2 linked regions of the Pelodiscus sinensis genome follow. The protein of the gene in region 2 interacts with the protein of the main gene of each other region in a biochemical or structural test. Links are inferred from orthologs where the notes say so. Each region holds a gene or a part of one and is shown on either strand. Other genes may lie near its edges.

Evidence for each region.
Region 1: the proteins of SIAH2 (region 2) and DLST form a complex in vitro, tested with the Homo sapiens proteins (2 studies listed by BioGRID, with this or other methods). The link is inferred for Pelodiscus sinensis from reciprocal best matches to the Homo sapiens genes SIAH2 and DLST.

The regions. Positions count from the first base shown.
Region 1 is NC_134714.1:44,200,066-44,210,775, forward strand, and holds the start of DLST (dihydrolipoyllysine-residue succinyltransferase component of 2-oxoglutarate dehydrogenase complex, mitochondrial), read right to left. Parts: upstream 7,339-10,710; 5' UTR 7,251-7,338; coding exon 7,182-7,250; intron 651-7,181; coding exon 617-650; intron 1-616. UniProt on the Homo sapiens protein: Dihydrolipoamide succinyltransferase (E2) component of the 2-oxoglutarate dehydrogenase complex. The 2-oxoglutarate dehydrogenase complex catalyzes the overall conversion of 2-oxoglutarate to succinyl-CoA and CO(2).
Region 2 is NC_134720.1:26,653,570-26,664,279, forward strand, and holds the start of SIAH2 (E3 ubiquitin-protein ligase SIAH2), read right to left. Parts: upstream 5,879-10,710; 5' UTR 4,851-5,878; coding exon 4,446-4,850; intron 1-4,445. UniProt on the Homo sapiens protein: E3 ubiquitin-protein ligase that mediates ubiquitination and subsequent proteasomal degradation of target proteins.

The sequences.
Region 1 (10,710 bases), on a different chromosome or scaffold from region 2:
CTGATTTCCTCAGAGCTATGCAAGGTCAGACAGGAGAGATCATTTCACTGGAAAATGACTGAGGTGGTAAACTGCAACTCTGACATGCTGTTCCCTGCTAAAATACATATTCTCTTTAAAGATCAAAAGCTTTGAGATTATGACTATACACACTGAGTAGCTGTAACTGATGGTCAAAGCAGACCTGGAAAAATGAAAGGGTGGACATGGAGTGTGCTGTCCAGAGCAAGAGCACTTTGGGATCCAGTTCAGGCCTATAGGAAAAGCTCTGATGGATTCTTTCAGACCAGATGACTTTAAAATCAGTGCTCTTATCTCCAATTAGCTTATTTACGAGTTACGTTAAATCTCTCTGTTGCCTTTGGGAATCTTCAGCTTAGCTAAATGGACCAGTTATCATTTATATTAGCTCATCAGACACCGGTGGAAAGATACAACTTGTTTCTCTTCTGATTTAATTTGTGACTGTTTGTCTTTATGATGATTTTTGAGAATATATTTGACTCTGATAGCGCTGGTTTATTTCTATCATCAACTCTAGTTAGTTTTCTTCCCTTTGCCTATGCCGTTATAAAAGGAAATAAAATACAAGTTGTACCTCAAACATAAGACTCACCGGATAGAGAGCGTCTTCCCAGAGTACAGTTCCCCTATCAGACAGAAGAGAGAGACTATCAGACTTGCAAACAACAGAAAGAACCAGTTTCTGAGGGGACAGTGCTTTCACCAAGAGCCCAGGCTATAGTCGGAACCAATAAATGGGAGACAGTTCACATGTTACTTCACTGTAGCACACACTAGTCTATAAGAATCTTCGACATAGTCTTCCCCCCTCCCCTTGCTTTTACCACTCTGACACTCCTTTCAACAGAAAAGGGTCTGGAAAGCAAGAAATTAAACTCAAATTCCCTGGCTTCCACATGCATTGCCTGTCCTTAAAAAGGGATGCCTGCAGGCAGTGAATAAGAAACAGGTTCCTGAAAGCCCCATGCACCTCAGATTTACCATTGCACAATAAGTGAACTTGTAGGAAGTAGGAGCTCCAAACTGCTGACTCCCACAGCCTTAACAGCTCCAGCTTTTGGTGTCTATTTTTAAATGTTTAGTTAAGGGGCCTTTGGTGAAATCCTGGCTCATGGAAGTCAAAGGCAAAAATGCTCAATGACTTCAGTGGTGCCAGGATCTCCCATTTAATTTTCAGGAAGTCATAAAAAATGTTCCTCTTTCAATCTTATTTTAAAAACAAAAAACAAGGAGTTGAGGGGGAGAGGTACATATGCTGGTGGGTAGGGCTAAGGTCCAGAGTGACCTAGATAAATTGGAGAACTGTGTAAAAAAAAAAAAAAAAAAAAAAAAAAAAAAATCTCATGAGCAGGGCTCATCAGCTACGTGGTTCTGCGCTCTGCGCATGCGCAGATTGTTCTGTGCATGCGCAGATCACTCTGCACTGGCTCTTCCAGGGTGTAATCTACTTGCCACGGGCGAGTAGATTACATTATTTGTCGAGCCCTGCTAATGAGGCTCAAAAAGGACAAGTGCAGAGTCCTATATTTAGGATGGAAGAATCCCAAGCAGTACTACAGGCTGGGGACCAACTGGCTAGGCAGCAGTTGTGCAGAAAAGGACTTTGGGATTACAGCAGATGAGAAACTGAATGAGTCATGGTGTGACCTTGTTGCCAAGAAGGCTAATGACATACTGGGCTACATTTGTAGGAGCATTGCCAGCAGATCTAGGGAAGTGATTATTCCCCTCTATTCAGCACTGGTAAGGTCACAACCGGAATACTGAGACCAGTTTTGTGCCCCCCACTACAGAAAGGATGTGGGCAAATTGGAGCAAGTCCAGCAGAGGGCAACAAAAAAGATTAGTGGGCTGGGCACACGACTTATGAGGAGAGGCTGAAGGAACTGAGTTTATTTAGTCTGCAGAAGAGAAGAGTGAGCGGAGATTTGATAGCAGCCTTCAACTGCTTGAAGGGGGTGGTCCAAAGAGGATGGAGAGAGGGTGTTCTCAGTGAGGACAGAACAAGAAGCAATGGTCTCAAGTTGCCATGGGGGAGGTCTAGGTTGGATATTAGGAAAATATATTTCACTAGGAGAGTGTTGAAGCACTGGAATGAGTTGCCTAGGGAAGGGGTAGAATCACCATTCTAAGAGAGTTTTAAAGCAAGGCTTGGCAAAACACTGACTGGAATGATTTAGATAGGGTTGATCCTGTGTTGAGCAGGGGATTGGACTAGATGCCTCCTGAGCTCCCTCTCAATCCTATTCTTCTATGATTCTATGAAGTTTCAAGGTGCAGCTACACGAGATCCCTGCCCTACTAAGTACTGTCACTCATTTAGATTAGGGTTGTTAAAACACATTTATTTTTAAAATGAGTAAGTGCTGTCATTTTCAACGGTTACACGTTTACACATTGAGGAGCAGGTACTTGTGGAGAGCTGGCTTAAAAGTCTCCTGCCTCGCTCCCCACTGCTTTTGATACAGAGGCAGAGGGTGTATGTGCATGTAATCATGGGGGTTAACCAATGAGACCAGGCTTATTGGTTAACTGTACACAAGTACATGTTAGCATCTTCCAACCTCGAACATCCAAAAATGCCTACAAATTATATACCAGGATCACTTCAACCACCATTGAAATGAAGTGTCCCTCTAGGGTGGGACACAAAAATAATTATTTCTCATTAGTCAAGGCAGGAAATGAAAGAATCCTATTTCTGTTAAATCTCAACTTTGTGTATCCCATATACATGTCTGAAAATTCCTATAGATCAGATAAAACAAACTGCCCGAATTGATGAGATGTTATAGATACATCAGAGGCCGCAGGAATTAGATGGGAATATAAAGGGAACTTTTTATATTGTGAAAACTGGACAAATGTAATACAACAAGGAAACTTACTCTGGAGTTTTGGTGACTGGAGCTCTGAGACTTTCACAATTTAGTCACAAGTACTCTCATTAGGGATGTGAATGTTTAACTGGTAAGGGCTGGAGCAGCCTCCGGCCCACTGTAGAGCTGCTCCAATCCATGGGATTGAGCAGCCCCTCTTCCACCACTTGCCCTATTTAATTGGTTAACTGGTAAAACATATTGTTAACTAATTAAATGGGATTTTACATCCCTAATTCCCATCTGGATTTACAGCCTCATGTTACACAGTTTCTTAAACATATTTATATAAAATATCTAATATACTAAGCAAAGCGAGCTACCTTCATCCCACAGATGTTTCCCTTGGGGTAATTTGCGGCAGGGTTAATCCAAGCATCCCCATCAGAATCTTTGTGGAGGAAGAAGTTCTGTTTCAGATTCTGTAGGAGCAACAGACTCCTGTGTGTGCCTGGAGAGACCCTGCACTGCTAGGATCCAGATCACTATAAGCATAGACTTTAGGAAGCCCATGCTACAATGGGTGGCTGTGCAAAACAAAATCCACAGATGGTACTTTCCACGTGAGCTGTGGTTTTCTGTGTTTTAAGAACTGCTATTGTGACCAGGGAAATTCTAAAATGCTCTAACATAACTGGGCCCCCTTATCCTAAAGAACTGAAATCTTATGTATGAGCCTAGGCAGAGGGCCTACCAGTGAAGGGAATAACACAAGAATGCCTATTTTGGGTCAGACCAATGGTCCATCTAGCCCAGAATTCTGTCTTTAAACAATGACCAATCCCAGGTGCTTCAAAGGGAAAGAACACAGCAGGCAATCCTCAAATGATCCATCCCATCATCCAGTCTCAGTTTCTGGAAGTCATAGGCTACCCAGTACCATTTTCACAAAAATCCCCTGGCAACAAGTTCCACAGGTTGATTATGTGTTGTGTGAGGCCAGAGGTGAGAAGCCATTCTGATTAAGGATGTAAAATCCCTTTTAATCAGTTATCGGTTAAACGTTATGTGTAACCCGGTTAATGACTTAAACGGGAGTGGCCCTCTTGCCTGTGGTATGGCAGGGGCTGCTCTGATCAGGCCAGGTCCACCAGTTAACTGTAACCAGTAAGCATCCCCTGGCAAGGGTGATGCTAACTAGTCAGAGTTTACCGGTTAATCATCCACATCCCTAATCCTGATTCAAGACGCTGAAAGTCTCTATGCACGGCACTGTGTTACTTAGGGCTTTCTTGCTTCTGCTCCTCAGGGGTGGTGTTCCAGAGCATACAGCCACATGTTTGGCAGGGGAGTCATTAGCAGGAAACATCCCATTTCCAGAATAAATCTGCTGGGATTGCATCTAATCTCAAGGACACTAAGACGCTTGGCATTAATGTCTGAACAAACAACTAATATTGTCATACCCTTCACAGGAAAGTAGGAGCCTGAACAGGAAGCAAAATCTATAGATCTAGCAAACTGACTGTAGCACTACGAATCTCTTAACTTACACTTCCCCAGATCAAGCTACCAATTAATTTAATCTTTCCCTACCTTCACATAACTTCTCAGAACCATTCAACATGCTGGAACCAGTCTATCACCAAAGGCATCCCCTATATATTTAACCATCTCCATACTATCTTTTAGGGAAATGCCACTCATGACATTTGAAAAGTCCCCCTATGGAATACGGAAGATGACTGTAGGCATGCTGTGTGTCCTCAGTCCTATACTGGAAACAAGAGCCAGTTCAGATAAGAGCATTGAGAGAATAGAATCACGCTGGGCAAAGCCAGTTTCACGGCTCCAAGCACAACTTCCAATAGACAAAGGGCTGGAAAGCTTTGGAAGTGGCATGACAGACCAATCACTCTGTGGCAAAGACTTCTGCACACACATAGGAAATAGTGGAAGAACTGCTTACAGCAGAGAGGGCTGCTGCATTGACAGAGAGGGCTGCCAGTGTAACCCATTGCTGGAAACAAGAGAACCAAGTATTTCAAATTACTCATTGATTTCAACAATTAGTAATTATACACATCAGGTAGATAGAGAAGGAGACAGGTGCTAAGATGCAATGCAGACGGTAATGCTGAGCAGACAGAAGATATCGTTACCAAACTGGCAGCCTGACCTGTTCTCGAATTCCCTGCCAATCTCCCCACTAACTTTTATGATCCTTTCTTTCCTAAATATATCCCAAAGGTCTCATTCACTGTGAATTCTGCTGTTTTCAGTGTTGTAAACTACACTCTTTCTTTGGACCCTTTCCTCTGAGGGCTTCTGGGGCCCTCCTCTCTGTTCAACCCCTCTATAGGTAGTAATTCTCCTCACTTTTGTGCCCAATGGCAGTAGTAAATGGCCTTCTCTTCCTCCTCTCTCAGCACTTGTACATGATTCCTATGTTGGCAACTCATCTCTTGTCTTCAATCCCATAATGCTGCTTGTCTCTTCAAATTCTCTTTCTGCATATCTTCTTTCTTCCTCACATATCAAAACGCCAACACTTTTCTTCCTTCTCCTTATCTCTATTCCTGCTGACCACTCCCCTATCTTCCTAGTCACTCAAGCCCACAGACCTGAGGGTCATCCTCGTCTTCTCTTCTCTCCTCCTGCCATTAGATATCCACCAAATTCTGGCGAGTCTCCCTCTGCATTTCCAAAATCTGCTTCTTCCTCCTTATTCTCAATGTCAAAACTTTTTGTCTATGCCCTATTATCTCTTGCTTGATGACCACTACTTCCTTGGCCTTCTTACCCAAACACAAACATTTCTCAATTGATTTCACAGCTAATTCTACATCAAGTAGAAATGCCTTGTCCTTGCTATCATCTTTCTGCCCTAATTACACACTCATTACTGAGGTACCCAATTGCTACTTCTTGGCTGTGTCTAGACTGGCAAGTTTTTCCGCAAAAGCAACTGCTTTTGCAGAAAAGCTTGCTAGCTGTCTACACTGGCCGCTTGAATTTCTGCAAGAACACTGACAATCTCATGTAAGAAATCAGTGCTTCTTGCGGAAATACTATGCTGCTCCCGTTCCGACAAAAGTCCTTCTGCGCAAAAGGGCCAGTGTAGACAGCTCAGATTTGTTTTGCACAAAAAAGCCCCGATCGCAAAAATGGCGACTGGGGCTTTTTTGCGCAAAAGCGCGTCTAGACTGCCACAGACCCTTTTCCGCAAAAAGCGTCCGTGCCAATCTAGACACTCTTTTCCGCAAATGCTTTCAAATGGAAAACTTTGCAGTTAAAAGCATTTGTGGAAAATCATGCCAGTCTAGACGAATCCCCAGTCTTCTGCTACATTTCCATTTATATTTTGCCAATTTCTCCCCATAACAAAGCTTCCCACAATACAGTTTTTGAAACAGAGATCATTCTTTAGGTGCCTGTAAAGTTTTATGAACACTTAAGGTGCTGTCAAAATTACTTGCTTCTCTAGATTAACAATACCAATGCAAGTCGCATAAACCAGATAGAAAGCTGTCACAAGGATGGTATATGTGTACCAAAGAGACTGTGTTTTAGGAGATACATATTAGGAGAGCAGAATATGAGTGGGTATAAAAAAATCCTGGTATCAGACAGCTACAAAGATGTTTACGGTGGCATAGCTGTCTTTCTGTTTATTCCATGTAGGATGACCTCCTGATAGTAGAGCTGACAATAGGCTGTCCTTGTAACTCCTCCTCAGGAGGGCTCCAGCACACAGCTTGCAACAGTTGCCTGCCCAAGAATAAGAGCCACAAGGATGGTATTAGGGAGTTCTGAGGGCAAATGCTGGGCAGGCTATCAGGCTGCAGTTGAGGCGGCCCTGCTTGCCCAACCGGTGCTGTCTCTGGCTATGCTCAGGACCTATTCCATCAGCCCCATCCTGCAGGGTCTGGACTCAAATAGCCCTCGCCATTCGGGACTCCGGCTTTAGACTGGCAGGCGTATCCTTGGGGCGCGGGGTTTCCCTCAGCTGCCACTCCCCACGCCAGGCCGGTCCACGGACAGACCTCACAAGGGATTTGCTCCGAGGGGGGGGAGGGGAGGATCTGAGGCAGCGCCCTGTTCGCCGGGGCCCCAGCTTGGGGCACGGCTTGTGGGACACGTTCCCCTGAGGCTCGCGGTGCGCACGGCGGGTGCGCAATGGGGGTCCCACGAGGGAGCGGCCCGCGGGGGACCGGGCGCAGGAGTTTCTCCAGGAGTCGGCCCAGAACGGGGACGTGACACCGCGTCCCGGTGCCCTTGGCGCTGCTGCCCGTTCGTCCCTTCCGCTCCCGCCCCCGCCCCCGCCCCGGGCGGTACCTGCCGGAGCGCGCAGAGTGAGCGGCCAAGCGCCCCGCTCAGACAGCGGGACCGGGACAATAGCAGCATCGCGGCGGCGGCAGCGACGGCAGGAGCAGCCGGAGGGCGGACACCGGAACCAGGCCCGGCACAGGGCGGAAGCGGGCCGGGGCGGACCAACCTCGGGCGCATATGCGGGGGGGGGGGTGTGTCACAGGGGATCGTACCAACCACGGGGCTGGGGACGCAGACAGTGAATTCTCCTAAGGAGCAGCACGAGTGCACCCGAAGAGCAAAGCTGGTGGGAGCAGAAGGGAATGGCGGAAGGAATGAACCACCCCGAGGCGATGGGGGGGGGCGTGAGGACTGAACCACCCCGTGGGGTCTCATGAAGTGGGGCTGAACCGCCCTGTTGCATGGCAGTGGGGGCAGAGCCGCGCTCAGGACAGGACCTCAGAGAACACCCGGAAGCGGCGTGACACCCGCAGGGTGCACCGAGCGGAAAACGTGCCCCACCCTGCCCCAGTCCAGACGTCTCGCTCCGGCTCAGTACTCACAAGGCTGGTGTCGGCAGTGGGATAGGAGGAGGGTTTGATGGAGGAGGCGGGGCCAGTATATAATGAGCCGTTGTGCGAGAAGCAGGCAGATGCGCTGGCATGGTTGGTAGAGTAGAGGGCTGGGAGGGTGAATCAAGGAAGGGCAGAGAAGCTATTCAGATGAGAACAAGGAATTGGAACCTGATGAGGAATGACAGTGGGGGAGCCCTTACAAGGGTGCAGAGATGGATTCTGTGGTCAGTGACTGGCCATGAAGGTGATCTTGGCACTTGTAATTTGAATGGACCAGAGGATGCAATATGGGTGTCAGAGAAGATGAAGTTATGGCTAGGAGGATGGGAGATAAGGGAGTCACAGAACTGAACGAAGTAAGGGTAAAGCTCATCTGTTCAGAAGACAGAGTATTCGCAGGGGCCAATCCAAGGCTGTGTCTAGACTGGCAAGTTTTTCCAGAAAATCAGCAGCTTTTCTGGAAAAACTTGCCAGCTGTCTACACTGGCCACTTGAATTTCCGGAAAAGCACTGACGATGTCATGTAAAATCATCAGTGCTTTTCCGGAAATACTATGCTGCTCCCATTCGGGCAAAAGTCTTTTTCCGAAAGACTTTTGCCCAAAAGGGCCAGTGTAGACAGCATAGTCCTGTTTTCCGCAAAAAAAGCCTCGATCGTGAAAATGGCGATTGGGGCTTTTTTGCGGAAAACCGCGTCTAGATTGGCCACGGACGCTTTTCCGGAAAAAGTGCTTTTGCGGAAAAGCATCCTGCCAATCTAGACACGCTTTTCCGAAAATGCTTTTAACGGAAAACGTTTCCGTTAAAAGCATTTCTGGAAAATCATGCCAGTGTAGACGTAGCCCAAGAGTATAGTACATACTCTCAGGATTGAGACCCCCACAAACCTCACCACCTTTCATTCCAAGTTCTTACAATATTCTTTAAACAGAAATACCCTGTGCCCATCATTCTCACATACTATAGCTCATAGGCTGTGGGAAAGAGAAAGATCCACACATGACTGATGCTAGTCACTCTGCTGATGTAACTCACACACCTGCTAGGTTTGGTGTACTGTCCCACTTAGTGGTACTGAGACCACTTACAGAAGGAGTGGGAAACCTAAGGCAACCAGCTTACCTGTATCTGGCTCCTGAGGCTCAGGGCTCCCCCCCCCCCCCCCCCAAAGCAGGCTGATTAAAGTTGCTATAATCCTCTTTGTTTTCTCCTGCTAAAATCACACTAGTGACAGCTACAGTAAATTACTTTCTGGACATTACATTTGATATAAATAAATGTTTCAGTTGCCACAGGCATGTTACCTGGATAGAAATAGGAGGTCACCTGCACAACTGGAAATGGCAAGAAAGGAGCATGAAACAGCTTCCTCTTAACATGAGGTGAATGCTACTACAAAGTTTAAGAAACTCTGTACTAAACCTGCAATAGTCTGTGATCCTGTAATTAAAAACTGCATTGTAATGAGGCATCTGTTCCAAAAGGGAAAGTAAAGATTGAGTGTACATCCATAATTAAGGCTTTTCATAACTTTTGAGCATCTATGTAACCATAATACTCTGCAAAGAATTTTGCAGGGAATTTCCTAGGAATTTTTTAAAGGAAAAATATTAGAAAAATCAATAAGAGACATTCTCCAATACTTTGAAACTCTGCTGGCATGTAAACAAAAAGGAAATAGAGCCCTAGGGATGTTAAATTTAGTTTAATCAACTAATCAACTAGTCGATAGATTTTCCATTGATTAGTCAATAAGTGGGGGAGCAGCAGTGGGGTTAGCTCCCTGCCCTGGAAACTAACCCCTCTGCAGCTCTGCCTTTTAAATGTATTAAGAGCCTCTTGGCTCTTAATACATTTAAAAGACTGAAGTGCAGCAGGGGGGACCCTGCGTGAGCTGGGACAGCTGATTCCCGGTTCGTGCTGGGTCCCCTCCCGTGTCTTAATACATTTAAGAGCCCTCCCTACCGGCTCTTAATACATTTAAAAGGCTGGAGCTCAGCAGGGGACCTGGCACAAGCTGACAATCAGCTGGTCGGGCTTGCGCTGGATCCCCGCTGCTGCACTTCTGATTTTTAAAGTATGAAGAGCCAGGTGGCTCTTAATACATTTAAAAAGCAGAGGCACAGCACCCGGTCCCCACTATCCCCCTGCTTCCCCTGCCCCTTGCAGAGACAGTGCTGGGGGGAACCAGCTTTTAAACCAGCTCCCCCCAGCCCTAGGTCTGCCCCTCTTGCTGCCTCTATCAGAGGCAGCAAGTGGGGGGAAAGCAACTAGTTGAGGGACTAGTTGACTACCCAATAAGCTTTTGCTTAGCAGATAGTCGACTAGTCATTTATATCCCTAAGATCTTGTAAAGTGCCAAATCTAGAACTTTTTCAGTTATTCTTCACTGGAATGCTGCTGTCCTTGAGCAAGACACTGGAAAACAGCTGTCCTTAACAAAAGATTCCTGCCTAACAGGAAAAAAATATGCATGGTAGGCTTTCATTAAACATCTCTCTAAGTATCTGGAGGGAAATTAGAAAAATAAAAAATTTACTTAGAGTTGATTAATTCAGCTGAGCAGGTGAATTCAGTCTGGTTCCAGGGAAAATCCATCCTCAGCAGAGCCGTCCATCAAGATAGCTAGTTACAAAGATGACATCATCTAAACAAGCTTTCATTGGTTAATCACATTGTTCCATTAAGGAGAGGTGAAAGACTCTTTAGTCACTCTTTGCTATCCATTCCTGAGGAAAGGTAGATTATTTCCCACAGAATACTTACTTCCAGTTCTGAGAGCAGGAAGAAACTTACAAGCTACTGTGGACTACTGGTTCAAATTTCTAAAGTTACTGTTTGCAAAGTGCTTTAAAAATGTAAAATACTAAGTACAATTATTTGTTACTAGGGTTTGTCAAGTGATTTAAAAATTAATCATGATTAATCATGAGATTACAAAATTAACTGATTAATTGTGCTGTTAATAATAGAATATAATT
Region 2 (10,710 bases):
TCATAACTGCAGGTTGACTGTGCCAAAAGAAGGACAAGAGAGATGTTCTGCATCAGCTTTACTGCAAACAAGAACAACAGTAGTCAATTAAAAATATCAGTAAATTCCTGTCATTGTGATGTATGACACTCCACACAGCTGAAGCATGTGAGCTAGACCATAGAGTGTCGGGTACGTGCCCTCTTTTTCTTATTCTGTTTGCAAAGCTTTAAAAATATATCTTTACAAACAGAAAACTTAGCAGAGCCATATATACACTGTACTGCAAAGGGCATTTACCTGATGCTTCACAGGGGTGCCAGCAGAGTTCCATGCTGAAAATTACTTAACGTCCTTGGGGTATGTCTAGACTACAGCATTTTGTCGACAGAAGCTTTGTCGACAAATACTGTCGACAAAGCTTCTGTCGACAAAGAGTGTCTACACTACATTCAGTTCTGTCAACAAAGCAAGCTGCTTTGTCGACATGGCAGTGTAGACGCAAGGACAGTTTACATGCAATAATGCTTTCTGTCTACAGAACTCTGTCGACAGAAGGTGTTATGCCTCGTGAAATGAGGTTTACCAGCGTCGACAAAACTGCTGAGTTCTGTCGACGTTATATCTACAGAACTCAGCGGTAGTGTGGACGCAAGTATAGTTTTGTCGACAAAAGTCCACTTTTGTCGACAAAACCCTGTAGTCTAGACACACCCTTAGTGTACTCTGGGCCAGGGCTCTGCATTGAACAGTATTCAGAGACCCACAACTTCAAGGGTCTTAAAACAAAGAAAACCTCACAATAAAAATTATTTGAAAAACAACAAAGCATCTTCCCCTTCAAACAGCCAAACAAACCTTCTATTGACACTTTTGATTAACTCCAGAAAAATCCTGGAAATCTTCCCGTAACTGCAAACCATTGTGTCTCTAGGTCTTGCTGGCAATGAAATTTAACATTAACTCAATCAGCACTTACACTACAGTTCAGTTGCATCACACCTCTCATGCATCAATTTCCACTTTGTAATTTAAAATAATTCTTTAAGGAAATCCAGTAATACTAATGTTTATTACAACTTTGGATTGCTCAGCAATGCAACTGGTTGAGACTGTCACACAACCAAATACTCACACACTTTTGCTTCACTCGTGGATTCACAAGGTCTGGTCATTGCCCTCTAATGTATGAGAAGTCTCTGGGGAGTGACATACCAAATCCCCCAACATCACACAATTCCACAGACAGGTCCCTGGCCTCTAAAACTGAGTATTCATCTCTCTGACTCTCTATAACAAATCTTGCTAAGCCAGACCCCTGCAAGAGGCTTGTATCCTTTGGGCACAGTGGTCCCAGTGAGGATCAGCTTTTTCTAAACAAGGCAACAAAGTATTTGTCACTTGGTGCACAGAATCTAAGTGTTCTTGAGTTGGCAAAGAGAGAGTAGAGTTCTGTCAATACTGGTCAAACCAGTGAATGAGCAAGCCATGTTCTAATGGACTCCACCTCTCTCTTTCTCTCCTTACCTATCCAGGTGAGAGCAGTTAGACTCTTCCAGAAGCCAATCCCCTTTTCCTTTCCAGGTCAGTTCTTTGTTCTCAAGGTGGGGGATTTTGCTCTGCTTTCCTGCAGACAGATGGGGAGAAAACCTCCTTCCTTTTAGAAGCTTCAGGGGGTAGCTGAGTTAGTATGTACAGGATAAACAAAAAATAACACATGTTCTGGTAGCACTTTATAGACTAACAAAACATGTAGATGGTATCATGAGCTTTTGTGGGCAGAGCCCACTTCTTCAGATGTGCCCATGAAACCTCATGACACTACATGTTTTGTTAGTCTCTAAAGTGCTACCAGACCATTTGTTGTTTAAGTTTATCCTCCCTTTCAATCATTGTTTCCTAGGTGTCAATGTTCTAGCCCCTGAGGTTTTCCATTGTCTCTTTTGGAGGCAGCATCCATAAGGGTTGCTTTCAGCAGGTTCCAGCCAGTTCCTCAACAACCCTATTCATTGCAGGCCAGAGAGCATAGCAACACCCACACACCTCATGTCCTGTGCTGCTTCCAAGAACAGACTTAACTCTTTTTCCTCCTCTGGGCAGCAATGCAAAGTATGCATGCCTTTCATAAAAACATTACAGAAAATCCCAACTTTGTCACAGCTTCGCTAGCTGGTCAACAGCCTTTTAGAACCGATTGGCAAGTTACTGGCCATGAAAAGGGTGGTATGGCTGGCCTGAAAGACTTCTCAGCACAAGGCAACTTCTATGCTGCAACAGCTAATGTTCTGCCCATTTCCCCTCAATGTTCACAGCCTGGATTTCAGAACCCGCTAAGAGATGCTGGTGTAGAATCCACCTCCGATTTTACACTGAGCTCAGTGCATAGGTGGCACAGGAGTTAGTGACTTTCCACTAAGCACTGACTCCTATAGTGAAAATATCAGTACCTTGCTGTAAAGTCCAGGTCCTTGCCTAAAGGAGTGCTCACTTTTGGGGTGGGGGGATTAGATGGGTGGAACACTTTTGACTGGACACATTAAAATTTACACCAAATTTTAGGAAATGTGCACCAATTTTTTTCTTGCATTCTTCTGGTTTTTAAGTTTGCCCAGCATAATGAGTAAAAGGTTCCAGGTAAGAATAAATGTTTTAAAAAACAGATAATGACAGGCAATAAGAATTGAGGAAGCTTTTCAATCTTTGGTTCAGGCCAGGTAAACATCACTCCTGGAGCTCTGTTGTTGGCTAACACTACTGACCCCAAATAGCAGCATGGCATAAAAAACCCTTATAAAACGAGTATGTAAAACAAACTGAAGTTGTAAGGACAAACTGCAGAACACAGGGCATACATGGGTGGTGGAAAATGAGCAGCTTAAATTATGGCCTCCTGTCACTTTTTTTCAAACAGAAGGAAAATATTTTCACTCTAAGCACCAATTCCAGTCAAGCCTCTCAATTTAAGACAAAGGAGTACAACAGCCCATTCCACTTATTATGTTTCATTCCCTATTGCCCCACTTCTTCAAGTAGGTGTGAGTGATAATATGAATTCTTAAGCTTGTGTGGAGTCAAACTGCAGGATCTGGGCTTGTTTGTAAATATCAAAGTTCTGCTAGGGGTAGCAAGAATCTGTATAATCCACCTTGTATGCTTATTTCCGTAAGGACATATTTTAAGATAATTCACACAATCTACTTTAAATCAACAACCACAACAAAGGAAATCAAAGCTCTTGAATTCAGATTAAGCTTTTCTAAATATTCTTTGTAGTTTATTGGGGTGGGAGAAGTAATCAACACTTCATTTAAAAAGGCACTCTCAATTTGAAATCTAACCTGTTATAAACAGCAGATTCTGATACTTTATCTGTTCCTGATTCCCTTAGTCTATCACATTTCCTATTATTTAAATATATGTTTTCTGCCCTTAATTATTATGAGAGAGACACCCACCCAAACTACACAGACCATGCCAGGGAAAAGATGTGAAATTGATTAAATACCAAGTAATTGGTACAAAGTAAGCAGACTGAAAATGGAAGGACAGATTTATTTTCTTTAATCTGATGGAATTATAATAGTGTTCTAAATAACAGACAGAACACATTTAGTTATCATGACTTTTAAAATATATTGTGTCCCTCTTAGTCATCAAATTAAATTGCAAGCATGAAGAATAATGCATTAAGATGGTCTAAACACTTTGCAATGTGAAAAACGATCTATTCAAGAATCTAAGTGATATTACTTTTAACAATTAGATGTTTATGTAACATTTTAATAGTTGATTGTTTTAAAAGCCTTAATGGTGTAGTTACACATAATACCACTGTGTACCGGCAGGGCTATCACACAGGATTAAGACAAGACAGCGGCACTTAATTTGTAAACAAGAGTCAAGCTGTGGGTATCTTTAAGACAAAGAGCAGGATATATATTCTTTGTACTCTTAATACTCTTGGGGAAAGGAACTGTGCTCCCAGCAGGAGGCCAAATGTCTGCTGACAGGGCTGGGAGTAGAAGCCCCCGCCCGTGTTTCTGCTGGAAAGGGGTGATCAGCTGTTACTGGGGTTACTTGGGCACATATTGCTGTGGGAGCGAAAGGGGGCAGGGAATTGTTTAGAAGCCATATATATAACTAGGACACGAGCCTCCCTCTGGTATGGCTGGAAGGTGCAGAATGTTCCTGTTGACTGGAATCTGGAAAGGAGAAGCAAAACTTTCACAATCCGGCCCTCTGCAAAATTCTGCGATTCGTTGAGAGGGCAGGTCCCCATCTCAGTAGTGACCCAGAGGGAAAGGGCTCCCTATGGCAGCTCTTAGAGGAGCCTTTGCTTTGTGGCTCTACAGAAATGACAGCAGCATTCCGGTCCGGGGATGAATAAGGCACAAGGACTAGCTCCATCCAGTCACCCCCCGGACCGTGTCGGCCGGAGCAGAAAGGGACTTGGAAGAGCCTCTTACCTTGCAGGGGAAGAGGACAGCTGAAGCCACTTTCTCCATGGCCAGGTTCCTGATGCTTGGGGTCAGGGATCCCCTGCACGTGGGGCAGCAGCTCAGTTTCTGCCGGCATTGATTGCACACCAGATGCCCGGCCTGGCACTGCAGGATCGGGGGCAGCACATAGTCGAAGCAGACGGGACACTCGAACAACGAGGTCAGCTCGTGGTGCTGAGGCGAGACCGGCCCGCCGCCGCCGCCTCCTCCGGGGCCTGAGATCACAGCGGCCGCAGCGGGGAGCGCGGAGGAGCCGGGGCCGGCAGCCGAGATGGTGGCGGCGGCAGCAGGGGCAGCAGCGGGGGACGGGGCGTGCTGCTGCTTGCCGCAGGGTTTGTTAGCGCTGGGTCCGGCGGAGGACGGGCGGCTCATCGCGGTCCGAGCCAACCATGGAACTGCGGGCACCCGGGTGGCCACTCACCGAACCCCGCAGGCGGGACCCGCGCAACGAACCGGCTCCGCTCTCAACAGCGGGCCGCCGCCAGCAGCCGACCGGGCGCCGCGAACGTTCCAAAGTGTATCGGCGTTCCAGAGAGATGTCCCGGCGTTCCGAGGGGCGCTCCGGCCACCAGCCCGACAGGGGCCCCGGCAGCCGCCGCGTTTCCCGGGCCGAGCGCGCCACGCGCGGATCCTCAGCGCACAGTCTGCAACATTGATCTGACGCAAGCGAGAGAGGCAGGAAGAGGGTGTAGCGCCGAAGCCTGCTCCCCGGCGGGTTCTGCTCGCAGTGCCTGGCTCTTACTGAGCATGCCCCAGCCAGCTAGTACTGTCCCTAGTCTACTCTCGGATCAGCCCAGCCAAGGGAGAGGAGACACGGGGGTCTATTTGAAGACACGGGAGGGTGGGCGGGCTAGCCGCTGGGGAAGTGCGGTAGAGTAGCAGGAGCAGAGGAGGAAGGCATTTGCTGACACTCCACTGGGGGAGGCAGGCCTACACGCTGGCGACTCTGACGTATAAAAGCCCCTTTCCACTGCCCGGGGGTGGTGGGGTGAGGGCCGTCTCTGCGGGACTGCTAACATGGCTGGCGTAAGCCCGTGCGGGAAACGCTACAGACAGACCCAGCAAGCACCGAGTTTGCACCAAGGGAGCTGTGGTCTGTTACGCAGCCACCATCCTCACAGCACTTCGCGGGAATAAAAGGTGGTGAAGGTGCTGCCCCGCGGCGGCGGGTGAGGTTCACCGGGGGGACTAGTTGCGGCCCACGGTGGCAGGCTGAGCTACAGAGTTTTGGCACTGCACAATTGTGGTAGTTACTCCAAACACTGTCCTGGGCTGCGGGAGCGAGGATACACCGAGGCTGTGGGGGTGCACCTAGTCCAACAGTAGATATTTTACATGTCAAAAAAACCCCCAAACTGCACTTGATACACGAGCACTGTGTGTGCGTGAGAGATTGCTAAGGGCCGCACGTTGTGGGAGAGGAGACCTACCTCACTTATTTTTAGGTGAAATGCGGTTGTTTGCAATTCAGCACCTCCACTCGTGTGTGACTCATCAACTGGAGGCTTGATGTAAAATCCACCTCTTGCGGGAGTGCACACTGCATACGTAGGTGGAGGGGGTGGGTCGTGCTTCCCATGCACTCCTTGTTCTAAGAGATGATGACTGTGTGGCATATGGCTTTAGAGGACAAAGCCTACATCTGGCGGGGGTTAGACTGGATGACCTTTGCAGTCCCTTTCTAACCTTATCGTCCTGTTGGTTTTGTGACTCTGTCTGCTGGAATTGCAAGTATGTGTATAAAGAAAGGGTGTTGGGCACCCTGGTATATTTTAAACTTTTAAAATTAATCTCAAATCATGTTACACAAGTCTTCTATAATTAGCAATCACACTATATATTCTAACTTTAGGTGGACACATAACATAATCACTTCAAAAACTTCTTTGGCAGATTTTAAGAGAATGCAAAAGCCCTCTGAATTTTACAGGGTTTTTTTGTGGTTCACATCAGGGATGTGACTGTTTTGCAAACACTAAAGCATATACATAATTTTGACACTTAATACCTTCATTAAAGTTATGCACATGTTGCCTAAGAATTTGCAGAACAAGGGCAAAAACAAATGTAATTATCCAATGGTTCTTCCTTTGCTGAGGTGAAAGCTGGAGGACTGCTTGTTCTGTCCAACCAGCGAACATACAGTTGACTCTGACATTACTGAATCTGCATGACAGAAGACTGCCTAATTAAATTACCTATATTTTATTTGATTGAATCTTGTTTACACAGCATCCTTTCAGAGCATATCTCCTCTCATTACAATGTGATCAAAGGATTCTAAAGGAACATAATTCTTAAGTATCCCCTGGCCTATTGACTGTTGTTATCCTGGAATAGGGACATTAAATTTCATTTAATCATCTAATCATCTAAGTTGATGGATTTTGCATTGATTAGTCCAGGCCTACTCAACACACGGCCCACTTTTTTGCAGCCCACATTGTGATTTGCGTTTACACGGGGCTCAACATGCGGCCAGCAGGTGGGTGCCAAAACAAAAAAGTAGTCATTAGACTGGTCTTTTGTTGATATGTGTTTTAGTAGTTAAATTCCTGCACTGTCATTGCTCATTATAAGTGCTGTCATAGGGGTGGAAATTGGGTAAATATTGCATTGTATTAATATCAGTAGAACTAACTTAAATGGGGCCTGCATGTTATGTAGTCTTACCTTAATCTTTGTATTCATGCGGTCAGAGTGAAAGAAGCTATTTGCATATATTTGCATATATATTTGCATGTACATGCAACCACACTTAAGTTGCAGCCCTTGGCATGTGCTGTGAGTATCAATGTGGCACCCGGGGCTTCCAAAGTTGAGTAGCCCTGGACTAGTTGATTAGTTGATAAGTAGGAGAGCTGCAGTGGGGTTTGCTCCTGGCTTTTTAAATGTATTAAGAGCCCCACTACCCCCTGCCTTCCCTGCCCTGCCCTTACCCCCCCCCCCCCCGGAGATGGTACTGGGAGAACCAGCTTTTAAGCCAGCTCCCCCCAGCACTGGCTCCTGCTCCCCCACTGCCTCTGATACAGGCAGCAAAGGAGGGGGGAAGTAAATAGTGGAGGGGCTAGTCTACTATCTGATAAGCTTTTGCTTATCAGATAGTGGACTCTTACATCCCTATCCTGGAACTCTGCGTAAACACCTAAAAGCACTTGGCCACAGTAATACTGAAAAGAACAAAATGCATCCTTGGCGCTTTTTAGAAAATGACTTTTGCTGATGTTTTTGGATTGTCTCAGCATTTCCCTGTCTACAAGCCAAAGCTCTGATCCCATTATTTTGAGAGCTGCAAACTCCTGCATTTCCTCAGTATCAATTTAGCCATTGCAGCTTTACCTTATATTTTATACTCTCACCATGTAATGCATCAACTGATAATGAACAGGTCTCTTACAGTCCAGTTCTATAAGACAATAGTGCAGTCCCTGGCAGGATAGTGGAAGAGTAGGTTTATACACTCTGCAGTGCCATACCAGAATGAAAAACTGTAGTACTGCATTGCCTGTAGTATGGAACACTCTGTGACACCACTCAGAAAATAGAGTAGGCAGTGCGTTACTGTGATTTTGGTGCTTGAAATTAAATTGTTTCTATAAAATCCATTATCAGGAATGGATGCAGCAAAAAATGCCAGCATGTATAAATGAGTAAAAAATACAGCAAATGGGGATGTAACCCAAACTTCAGTGGGATTATTCATGTGTAAATATAAACAGGATTGTTACATTAGTGTTTGCAGTGTTGAGGCCTGTTTCATTAAATCTAAAATGAATTAATGACAACAAAGTGTTTTGTGATGATGCTGGAATGTTTTGTTATTTTGCTTTATATTTCATATTTTCCTATATACAGTAGTGCTTGAAAATCAGAAAGTGGAACTGATTTGATTGCTTTTATTGTCCAAGCTAAGTGGAGTTAGAAAATCAAATTTGACATTTTCAAAATCCCTTCTGATTACAGAAATGAGGAAACATTGGTTATGAGGAAAAAATAATCTTACAGCGTCTCTTTAAAATTTGAGTGAAATAGAGGATAAAAGAGGGAATGATTTTGATTATAAATTTCAGAGGGGTAGCTCAGTTAGTCTGTAACTGGAAAAACTTAAAAAACAACAAATAGTCTTGCAGCACTTTAAGAACACAACAGAGACTAGGGATACTATTCCTTACCCAACCTAGGTAATAACCTTCACAACCTCCTTAGGCAAGGAGTTCCACAGGCTGACTGTGCGCTATGTGAAGAAGAACTTCCTTTTATTTGTTTTAAACCTGCTGCCCATTAATTTCATTTGGTAGCCCCTAGTTCTTATATTATGAGAACAAGTAAATAACTTTTCTTTATTCCTCTTTTCCAAGCTGAGAAGTCCTAGTCTCCTCATATGGGACTTGTTTCAAACCCCTAATCATTTTAGTTGCCCTTCTCTGAATTTTTTCTAATGCCAGACTTTTCTAAAATAGTATTACAGCACCTTAAAAACTAACAAAACATGTAGATGATATCATACACCCTCATGGGCACTACCCACGACCGATGAAACTGAAGAAGTAGGTTGTACCCTTGAAAGCTCATGACACCATCTACCTGTTTTGTTAGTTTTTAAGGTGCTGCAAGACTATTTGCTGTTTTTTTTTTAAGTTTTTCCATTTGCTTATAGTTAGTAAAGAGTCAAACTTAAGGTTGGGTCTGCTTGTCTTTTTGTTTGATGACCATGTGTAAAGGTTATAAACAAGGCTGAACTACTTGCTGTGTACAAGTGCCCATGCTTATCGTAACCTTGCCTAAGGAGGTTGTGAAGGCTATTACCCAGGTTGGGTAAGGAATAGTATCCCTAGTCTCTGTTATGTTCTTAAAGTGCTGCAAGACTATTTGTTGTTTTTTAACCATCTGTTAGTCTTGAAGGAGTGGTAGAACTTGTGTGCCTTTCCTTGTCAGCAGAATGAGTGAATTGTGCTTACACACATTAGTTTCCAAAGAGGAGTTGTAACGTGTGTGTGTGTGTGTGTGTGTGTGTGTGTGTGTGTGTGTGTGTGTGTATTACCCTCATTTATTAAAAAAAAACCAAATTTGTACGTGTATTAAGTTTTGTGATGTTTAAATGCTTTTCTGTGAAATCATGCCTAGTTAGTTTATAAATTGAAAAGTCTGTGTTGTGACACTGCTGTAGCTGCAGACTATCAACCATGTAAAACCATAGAGCTGTGTCTAGACTGGCAAGTTTTTCCGCAAAATCATCTGCTTTTGCGGAAAAACTTGACAGCTGTTTACACTGGCCGCTTGAATTTCCGCAAAAGCACTGATGATCTCATGTAAGATTGTCAGTGCTTTTGCGGAAATACTATGCTGCTCCCGTTCGGGCAAAAGTCTTTTTCCGAAAAACTTTTGCGCAAAAGGGCCAGTGTAGACAGCAGAGATTTGTTTTCCACAAAAAAGCCCTGATTGGGAAAATGGCAATCGGGGCTTTTTTGCAGAAAAGCGTGTCTAGATTGGCCACAGACGCTTTTCCACAAAAAGTGCTTTTCCGCAAAAGCGTCCTGCCAATCTAGATGCTCTTTTCCGAAAATGCTTTTAACGGAAAACTTTTCCATTAAAAGCATTTCCGGAAAATCATGCCAGTGTAGACGTAGCCAAGATGTATAGAGCAACTTCTGTGCACACACAGCCAGTAACTCTGAAATGTTTTTAGCAGGCCTTGATAGTCAGGTGTGATACCTTAGGACTGCTAGGGCTAAAATTGAATTAAGCTATGAAACTTCAGCTACGTCAGTGGTGTAGCTTAAATCGAAATAGCTTTTTTAGGCTTTTGGAACTGTTTACACAGCAGGAAGTTGAAGGAAGAACAGCCTTCTTTCAACTTCCCTTAATCCTCATGAAATGAGGGTTACTGCGGTTGGAGTAAAAAGTCCTCTAGCTCAACATTATTCAGAAATAAAGGCTTGTTCTGTAGACCTACACTGTGTTATTTTGGAATAACGTCAGTTACTCCCAAGTAACTCTGCGGTGTAGATGTCCTCCTAGAGATGAATATGCCAATGGATTACACTAGGTAGGATTTTAGCATGTAATCACTAATAACTGTGAAGGAAAGTTTAGTGTTGTCATTTGTTGGCCATGTGTTTGTTCTCTTTGTGTGCTGTCTGGGCTCTGGCTAGGTTGCCGGCCCAGCAGATCTCGATCAGACTGCCCAGAAAGATTACTGACTTGCTTCAGTGGGGAAGTCATGTGGCTGAGT